Oryza sativa Japonica Group: one gene and its partner. The main gene of each other region encodes a partner of the protein of the gene in region 2 in a complex. Links are inferred from orthologs where the notes say so. Each region holds a gene or a part of one and is shown on either strand. Other genes may lie near its edges. The genes, in order: sister chromatid cohesion 1 protein 1 and sister chromatid cohesion 1 protein 3.

Region 1 (4,540 bases), on a different chromosome or scaffold from region 2:
GAAAATTAGCAGTAGCATCAAATAATATCATTTCAGTTTCGTCGCAATTAAGCTAGCTAGCCATGTGAGGAGTCATTTCGATGCCTCGATCGATCATCGGCGTCGAAGAGGGGTCAAGAACTCAAGATTAGGCGATCGATTCCATCTGACTCATCGGCTGAATCATACGAGCTACCGTCAATTGAGTACTCGTACTAATGTACGCGTGTAAATGCTACTGACTGCATGAAAGAAACTGTACAAGTCCTGTGCTTACACAATGTACTACGGCCTAGCCATGATGTAGATGATGCAGCACAAGACCTTTTAATTAATTAATCGATCGACAAGCGATCCATGCATGCATGGGAGTAATTTACAGGCTTCGAGAGTTCATACACTGTTGCATTGCGACTTGCGAAAAACATAGTGCTACACTGAGAATTAATGATGGCCATCCGCAGCTAAGTGATGATCTGTGAGCAATTAGCAATTACCGGTTACTGACGAGAGGTGAGTAGGTAAAGGCATTATTAGCAAGAACTGCATTGGAACAAAGTTCATTCCGGTTGTCAAAACTCAAAACCCCAGCGAGCTGAGGCGTGAGAGCAACATCGCCAGCTGTCGCCGTCGCGTCGCGGGGGGGGGGGGGGGGGAGGGGGGCTACGTGCTGGCGCGGGATTAGATCCATGAATCCATCCGTGCCGCCCACGCCGTCAAACAGCCACGCGCGCGTGGGGTCAGAAACGCGCGCGGCTGCACGGCTGCGCCGAGAGGTGGAGCTCGCCGCTGCCGGCGGCTGTGGCGTTGCCGGCCGCCACCGCCGGACCTCCCCGTGACCCCGTGAGCCATGGTGCCTAGAGGCTGGAGAGGAGAGGAGAGAGATGGAGAGAGGGGAGATGGAGAGGGAGGAAGAAGATGAGGAGGTGAGTATGACACGTGGGGTCCACGTGGGTTCCACTATTTTTTATAATTATTTTATGTGTGAAAATGACATATGGGTCCCACAGACTTTATTATTTTTCCGAATCGAATTGCCACGTAAGCGCCACGTCAGTGCCATGTCAGATGAAGACCGAGTTAAATTAGCCACGTAGGCGCCACGTCAGCCAAAACCGCTATCAAAACCGCCGAGCGACCTCGTTTGCCCGGTTTTCGTAAGTTGAGGGACAGGTCATATCCGGTTTTGCGGTCAAGGGACAAAAATCGGATTAGGCGACAAATAGAGGGACCCAAAGTGAACTTATTCCTTGGGGAAAAAGAGAAGAGAAAGAAGTGAGCACTGATATGTGGGCTCACATATTTTTCTTCTCACTTACATGTGGACTCCTCATGTTTTTTTAATATTTCTTGCTGACTAGGATGTCACGTGAGCGAAACAAGTCTTTCATACTATCATGGTATTTGATTTGGACGGTTTTGACAGGATGAAGGGTAAAAGGATTTTGGTATTGTGTTTTAGGAATGCCAATTAAACTCGAGTGAAGACGGGGTACGGTTAATGGACTTATTCGGGGAGACAATAGTGAAAAATTATTTTGGCCCCGGAAGGCCTTGGCCCATGAGTGGCTCCGGCGCGGTGGATTACCGAGACTACCCTTTACGCGCAAAACATTTCACCGATCTGCCCCCCTGATGTCTTTCTTCCCCCACAAACCTCCCTCCCTTCTTCCTCTCTCCGAGGTCTGAACTCCCACCCCACGCAACCATCGCAAAAACCCCACTCCACCTCTCACCTGCTCTCTCCGCCGCCGCAGCGGCGCAGCGCCTCCACTCTCACTCGCTCATCCATTCCCTCCCTCCTCACGATCGAGAATGTTCTACTCGCACCAGCTCCTCGCGCGGAAGGCTCCGCTCGGCCAGATATGGTGGGTTTGCTTCGCTCTCCGCTCCTCTCGATCGCGTCCTTTCGGCTTCTCTTCTCATGCGCCGTTCTGCGGTGCTCCGTTCTATATTGTTTTCTGCGATTTCTCTGCTCGTTCCGCTCCGAAATCCGAATGTTCGCCACTTGGTTGGAGTTGATTAGGCCGCTGATTACTCCGCTTTTTTTTTTCGCAGGATGGCGGCGACGCTTCACTCGAAGATCAACCGGAAGCGGCTTGACAAGCTCGACATCATCAAAATCTGGTGAGCGAATTAGTCCGAATCCAGTTGTCTCTGATTTCTTCGTTTCGAACTTGACGGTTTTTTTTGGGGGGATTTTGTGCGTGTGGTTTTTGGGTTAGTGAGGAGATTTTGAACCCGTCGGTACCCATGGCACTAAGGCTCTCCGGAATTCTCATGGGTGAGTCCAGTTTGCTTGTTGTCTCCATAGTTCCGATCGCATTTGTTTGGTGATATTTTCTGATGTGGGTGCTTGCGTCGTGGGAGTGTGAGTAGGTGGTGTGGCGATCGTGTACGAGAGGAAGGTGAAGGCTCTGTATGGTGAGTTGCTCCCTGATTGCTTCTCTTTTGTTTCCATTTTTTTTGGATTCGTTATAGACTCAAACTGTGTGAGATCTTCTTCGCAGATGATGTGTCTCGGTTTCTGGTAAAATTCGAGTTCGATTTTCACCTAATTTTGGTGCCTCCTCCTTGATCCATTTGCCTGTCTATGCTAACATGGTTCAGATTACGCTTGTACTAACTCCTCACACAGATTGAGATCAACGAGGCATGGCGGGTCAAGCCAGTCGCAGACCCCACCGTACTTCCCAAGGGCAAAACCCAAGCCAAGTAAGTGCCCTCTTTGTTTCCATGACCTTCTAGGACTAGAAGTTTCTAGATGTTCTGTGCACGGTTTTGGGTTCGAGGGAAGATTGAAGAACATGCTATTATGTTGGTGACCGAGGGGAGTTTGCTTTTGTTTCCCTGCTGCCAGGGATTGTGAGTTTGTGTGTGATTTTCACCATCCGATGCTAATCTGATGGACTCGTCATTTGACACAGTTGCAAGTTTTGATATGTCATCAGCTTACTTGGTTCTGATTAGAACATGCTGCATCTGTGTAATGTTGATTTTATGATGATACTATCTCCTTGCAGCATAGTACATTGTTATGTTTTCAGATGTACCTGATGTTGTCATATGACTGATTGTTCTGTTCTACCTGTTGTCTATTGGCGGTTCATGGGACCCTGCTGTTACTTGCCTCTTGTTGTCTTGCTGACTTTGGTAGCAGCCGATGTCTGTATTATGCAGGAGTACTATTCTACAAATGATCTGTGTTTCCTGGCAGCATAAATTTGTCTGTATGTTGTTCCAGTATATGTAGGTCCTCTACATTTGTAGGGTGATGAAGGGCTTTTGCTTCCCCACAGTGTTTCCTCCTCTCTTAATGAAATGATATACAACTCTCTTGCATATTCAAGAAAAAAAAACTGGAAGGGCATTAGGCAGTTAGGCAGGCATTGTCAGTGAGCGATACATGCTTTATGGGGATGAACATTTGACTTTTTCTTGGGTGTCAGTTACTGGTGCCAAGGGAGCAGGTCTGAGGGCCGTCTGGTACTTGAGAAATGTTGCTATCTTAGAGTCTAGGGAATTCCATCACCTTTGGGAACCGGAGGCAAACATTTCTTAATCTTGTATCATGCTCGAAGGACTGACTCTTGTGGGTGTACCATTTCCTTCCATTGTGGCCTGCATCTGATATGTAACCATGTGGCTGTGCCATCATCCCCTTGATCCCTTCGGAACTATGTTCGATAGTTACTGCAATGTTCACGTGATGTTGATACCTGTACTGTTGCAATGAGTTTAACCCTCTTGGAGTCCTGGATAGTTCCTCTGAATGATTGTATCCCAAGGGTCTTTTCAACTTACTTTTGTAAATAGCATAGAGTGGGTATAAGTTGGTGGATGGAGAATGATATTTTGTACCAAGAGTAAAACAGTAATGGTTTGCTCATCTAAACTTGGGGCTTCATGCAGGTATGAAGCAGTAACACTGCCAGAGAATATCATGGATATGGATGTGGAGCAGCCCATGCTTTTCTCAGAGGCTGATACTACAAGGTTCCGGGGAATGGTAATCCCTGTAATATGTATATTTCGGTGGTGTCTGATTGTATGCATTGAAAGATGGCATTAAGTTATGAGCAATAACCACGAGATAGTCTTGCTTTCAGTCTCCTGACTTTTGCCAGATTGTCTCTATTCCTCTGAAATCCGTCATGCATGTGCAGCGTTTGGAGGATTTGGATGACCAATACATTAATGTCAACCTAGACGATGATGACTTCTCGCGCGCTGAGAATCATCACCAAGGTTTTCATTTCTTTTCTTATGAATTACTCTTTGTGGTTGCTTAAGAGGTGTACTTTCTGACTGAAATATGTTATCTCAGCTGATGCAGAAAATATCACCCTGGCTGATAATTTCGGGTCTGGGCTTGGAGAGACTGATGTGTTCAATCGTTTTGAGAGGTGAAGCAAAATTTTATTCTTCTCTTATTCTACCATTCATTTTTTGCACTTCTTGTTCCTTATTTTGGCCAGTACAATTATTCATTGAGCAATGTTACAATGTCACCAGATTCGACATAACAGATGATGATGCAACTTTCAATGTCACTCCTGAT
Region 2 (4,335 bases):
TCTAGCATCCCACATAAGTAATGCTGGTGGAATTGCAATGTAGTCTTATTTCTATTAGGTCTTATGAAAAAATGAAGGCAGAAAACAAAACTGGAAAGAACAAGATGAGTCAACAAGCAAAATACTAACCAATATCCATTGGTATAACATCTTCTATATTGTCATATGTGGTGCTTGTACTTCCTCGTGCATTGGGAATGGATGTCCCAGATAATCCACCTTGACCAGGGGATATAGTTCGTTCCAGTGCCGGAGGGGTGATATTCTTGGACACAAATGGTGAAGATTCCTCAGTCACATCCATGGGATCATTGTTTACCTCATCAATATCTGGCAAGTTAAGTTCAGGGCCCTCAAATGGTGCTTCACGCATTATTTCAGGTAAATCTGGTGCTTTATCTGCCTGATTTATGTTACTGGTGTTCACTGCCTCCGAGTTGTTGCCTTGGGAAGGATCTACGGAAATTTCCTCATCCATATTGTCACTTGGCCCAAAATCGATGTGAAATGGAGGCAATCTCCTGATAAGCAAAGCGGACATGAGTCCACCAAAATAGAAATTAGAAGGAAAAAAAACATGACACGTACTCTTCGTCAGTTGGTTCAGGTCCCATGTGTGAAGATTGTCCAGGAGCTGATAGCTCTACTCTAGCATCCTACACAATTTATAAGCACAAATATTAAAAAACATGCAAACTAAACAAGCCTGCAAAAAGCGCAAGTCAGTGAGGAATACCTCATCAAGATCAATCATCAGATAGTCTCCTTCTGCAGCACCAAAATGAAATCATTAAGCATCCGCATTGGAATGATAATAATACATATATTGACTAATTGAACTTCGTATACCAGCCAGGGTGATCTGGTCCAGACTCTTCCGATGATTATCTGGCGTACTGTCAGAAAGTTAACACAATAATATTAGTTGAGGTTGTATGACGCGGAGAAAATATATGAGAAGAAAAGTACTCACTCTATCAGACGAATTGCATCATCTAGGTTTATGTCATCAAGACGGAATGTATCAGGCAATGTGATGGTGTCAAAAGGCGCATGATCCGCATGAAGGGGCAGATCTACTTGTACAGAAGCGAAGGCGGTTCTGATTGTGCTTAGCATCCGGTTACAGTCATGGAAGAGGTAGTTTACCTTCCATGAATAAATGCGAACTAGACCTAGAAGAAGATGCCCTGACAACCTCAGAGCAATTGGAACTTCAGGGAACATGATAAATTCTGAAAAAATAAAACTCATGCATTAGAAGACATGGCATTAGGTTGCAGAGTAAAGCATAGGGAAAATTCAATGTATATGAGAAAATTGTTCAATACTTAACTAAGGAAAATATGTAACCTATTTTTCTCAAAAATGCGGGAGGACTGAACTTCATTTCTTTAAGAAGAAAATAGATAGAAAAAGAGGAGGTTAAACTGACAAACACACCCAAGAACACGCTCACGTGCACAACACCTAAGGGCGACACATGACCTCACTAAGCAAACACAAACTAATTGCCAAGGGTAAGCGACCTGCAGAAAAATGTGACCTATTCAGCATGCCATTATAATACAAGTTCTTGCAAAGCACAGTTCGAAGTTGAAATAAAAAAAATTGTCACACTTTCCTCCCAAAGAGAATAAAAAAAACTTCCCATAGAGTATAGACATCTATGCCCAAATATGCAATATTAATCCAGTTGTTTTACTTCCAGTCAAAAAACATGTTTTGTTCTAATAAAATTCCATCAGTAAGCTTCCTAAACATAAGGCTTATCTACTTTGTTCTTGAGTTTGCAAGGTTAAATATGTAAAGTTAATCACAGAATAAAGTAAAAACTGTTACATAATGTACTAAAAGAACAATGCAAGCACAACAAGCCAGTTTATTTGTCAATGTTCTATGATTTGACTGGATAACATATAAACTTATTTGTGTAATTCATATAAGTAGAACAAACATATATGAATTACTCTTCAAATAGAGTGGCTCAAGTAGGCAGTGTTCCACCGCAAGTGATTATACTGTACTGGGAGGTAAAAAATTGGGTTTGGTCGTTCTTTTTTTTTTCTTCCTTCTGGATATGCAAATGCTGTCATTCTTGAAATGTTTAGCATCCAAATAGGGCCTGCAAAAATCCACCCAAAAGTCTCCGGTGCACACCCCACCACAACCTCCCATAACTAAAAGACCAAATTTTGTTGTATCTTTTGTCATTAATGAATAATCATGCCACTAGAACAATCATTTACACGAAATTCTAACTGATAACCAGATAAATACTGCGAACCCCTAGCAAAATGCTCTAAAAAAAACTATCCAAACCTTCTTCCTTCCTGTCCCAAATTGCAGAATGCAGATTGGGATCCAAATCTCTGTACCATCACTTGACCCCATTGCTAACCCCAAAACATTTTTCACTCACAACTCCGGAACAAATCCCAGTTGCACGGAGGAACCAAAAAAAAAAAAAAGCTTATCCTTTCTACCCCCGCCGCCGCTGAAAGGCGCCGCCTTTCTACCCGCGCAGCAACAACAAAGGGGAAAAGAAAGAGCGCGTCTTTGGGAGAGAGGGGAGGGGAGGGCTTACCGGCGTAGGAGGGGATGTCGATGCCGTCGATCTGCGGCTTCTTGATCTTGCGCTCGAGGTGGGCGGCGATCCACACCGTGCCCAGTGGGCTCTTCCGCGCAAGGATCGTGTGCGAGTAGAACATCGCGGCGGCGTCGGCTGCCTCCTCCCTCCTCCGTCTCCTCGGGGTTGCTCCTGCGGCGGCGGCGGTGGCGGTGGTGGTGGCGGCGCACGGAGAGGGAGGGGAGGGGGATGAGATGAGATGAGATTTGGGGGGGGAAAAATAGAAGTTTTGGATGAGAAGGAGTTTTTGGGAAGGGGAGTGAAGCGGGAAGCCGCTTCGTATGTGGAGTCTTTTGGCGCGCGGATTTCGGGAGCAGCGGGCGGGGTGGTAGGGTGGCTGACAGGTGGGCCCTAGCAGGTGGTTGGTTTTGGAATGTGGGGGAGTTATTTTCGTGGATGTTTTGCTTGTAGAATACTAGAATTTGAGGCTTTTACATGCCGAACGAATTTGCTGCGGTTGTTTCCCCCCATTTTACCGCTGTGGCGTGCATCAAATTACCCTTTCTAGCTATCCCCGCAAAAGAGAAAAGGAAAAGTCTATACATACTACTCCCTCCATTTCACAATGTAAGACTTTCTAGCATTGCTCACATACATATAAATGTTAATGAATCTAAACACATATGTCTAGATCCATTAACATCTAAATGAATGTGGGTAATGCTAGAAAGCCTTACATTGTGAAACGGATGAAGTAAATTTTATCTTACTAACAGTCTAACACTATGTCTCATGCTGTGAGTATATCTAGAATTTCTATAACTTCCATCTATTTAAATTAGATGGTTGATATTATTGTTTGAGCAGCATTGCTGTAGAGAAAATTACTCTTTCTATTTTCTAATAAACTAGTACTATGATGATTTCGTTCGCCGGATCACACATAGTTCGATGTTTGATGACCGTTCATTTTGTTTTTGGACATTATAATTTATTATCCACACGGGATTTTAGTTTTTACCATTTTTCCCTAAAAAAATTAGTTAATCTCACCTCTAACGCCTAATGTCTTGTGCCTTTATATCTTTGTAGATCTAATAGCGTAGAAAAATCTTACCTGAACAGCAATAGAAGAGGAAAAATAAAAGCATGAGTCTTCATTCACAGTGAAACAAGATGCAATTTGTACCCTTCCGTCCAAAAGTCTTAAACATATTTTTCCTAACGAGATGTGCATATCTATAGCCTCCATGTAACCTAGATTTAAATGAAGATGTTGTCTTATTATTTTGTTCCAAAAGTTTTAAGCATATTTTTTTCTAATGAGATGTGCATATTTATAGCCTTCATGTATCCTAGACTTAAATAAAGATGTTGTCTTATTATTTTGTAGTGCTGAATTATTGGAACTCAAGCAATTATCTTAATACTCATTGGTTATATGCATACATAGGAGTAATCCTTAGTGTTTGTTATATGCAAGATGAGTTAATTTTTCATTAATCCCATTTAAAAAGTAATATGCCCTTAGGCTTTTGGATTGAGAGAGTACAAGTGAGATTGATTAGTTGCTCATAGGTTAGATTGATTTTTTTAAGGAAAAAAAAGGAGAAATTCGGTGTACATCCCATAGAGCTTCACCAACTTATGCCCAATATAGCTTCTAATGCCTAAATTTTATGTTTTTCATAAGAAAAAAAATTGACTTCTACAGTTCCCTAATTAACTTCCCATGAAATATCTTTTCAGTCCTAGTCGCTCTCCAC

What was found.
Region 1: sister chromatid cohesion 1 protein 3 (region 2) and sister chromatid cohesion 1 protein 1 share a complex: the UniProt entries of both Arabidopsis thaliana proteins name them as parts of the cohesin complex. The link is inferred for Oryza sativa Japonica Group from reciprocal best matches to the Arabidopsis thaliana genes SYN3 and SYN1.

What each region holds. Positions count from the first base shown.
Region 1 is NC_089039.1:29,073,357-29,077,896, forward strand, and holds the start of sister chromatid cohesion 1 protein 1, read left to right. Parts: upstream 1-1,659; 5' UTR 1,660-1,794; coding exon 1,795-1,847; intron 1,848-2,037; coding exon 2,038-2,106; intron 2,107-2,204; coding exon 2,205-2,263; intron 2,264-2,358; coding exon 2,359-2,403; intron 2,404-2,489; coding exon 2,490-2,509; intron 2,510-2,617; coding exon 2,618-2,694; intron 2,695-3,891; coding exon 3,892-3,988; intron 3,989-4,145; coding exon 4,146-4,227; intron 4,228-4,306; coding exon 4,307-4,385; intron 4,386-4,494; coding exon 4,495-4,540. UniProt on the Arabidopsis thaliana protein: Involved in chromosome condensation, pairing and segregation during meiosis. Responsible for cohesion between replicated sister chromatids.
Region 2 is NC_089042.1:10,215,944-10,220,278, reverse strand, and holds the start of sister chromatid cohesion 1 protein 3, read right to left. Parts: upstream 2,882-4,335; 5' UTR 2,712-2,881; coding exon 2,588-2,711; intron 1,236-2,587; coding exon 974-1,235; intron 897-973; coding exon 850-896; intron 769-849; coding exon 737-768; intron 657-736; coding exon 589-656; intron 522-588; coding exon 130-521; intron 1-129. UniProt on the Arabidopsis thaliana protein: May be involved in sister chromatid cohesion during mitosis.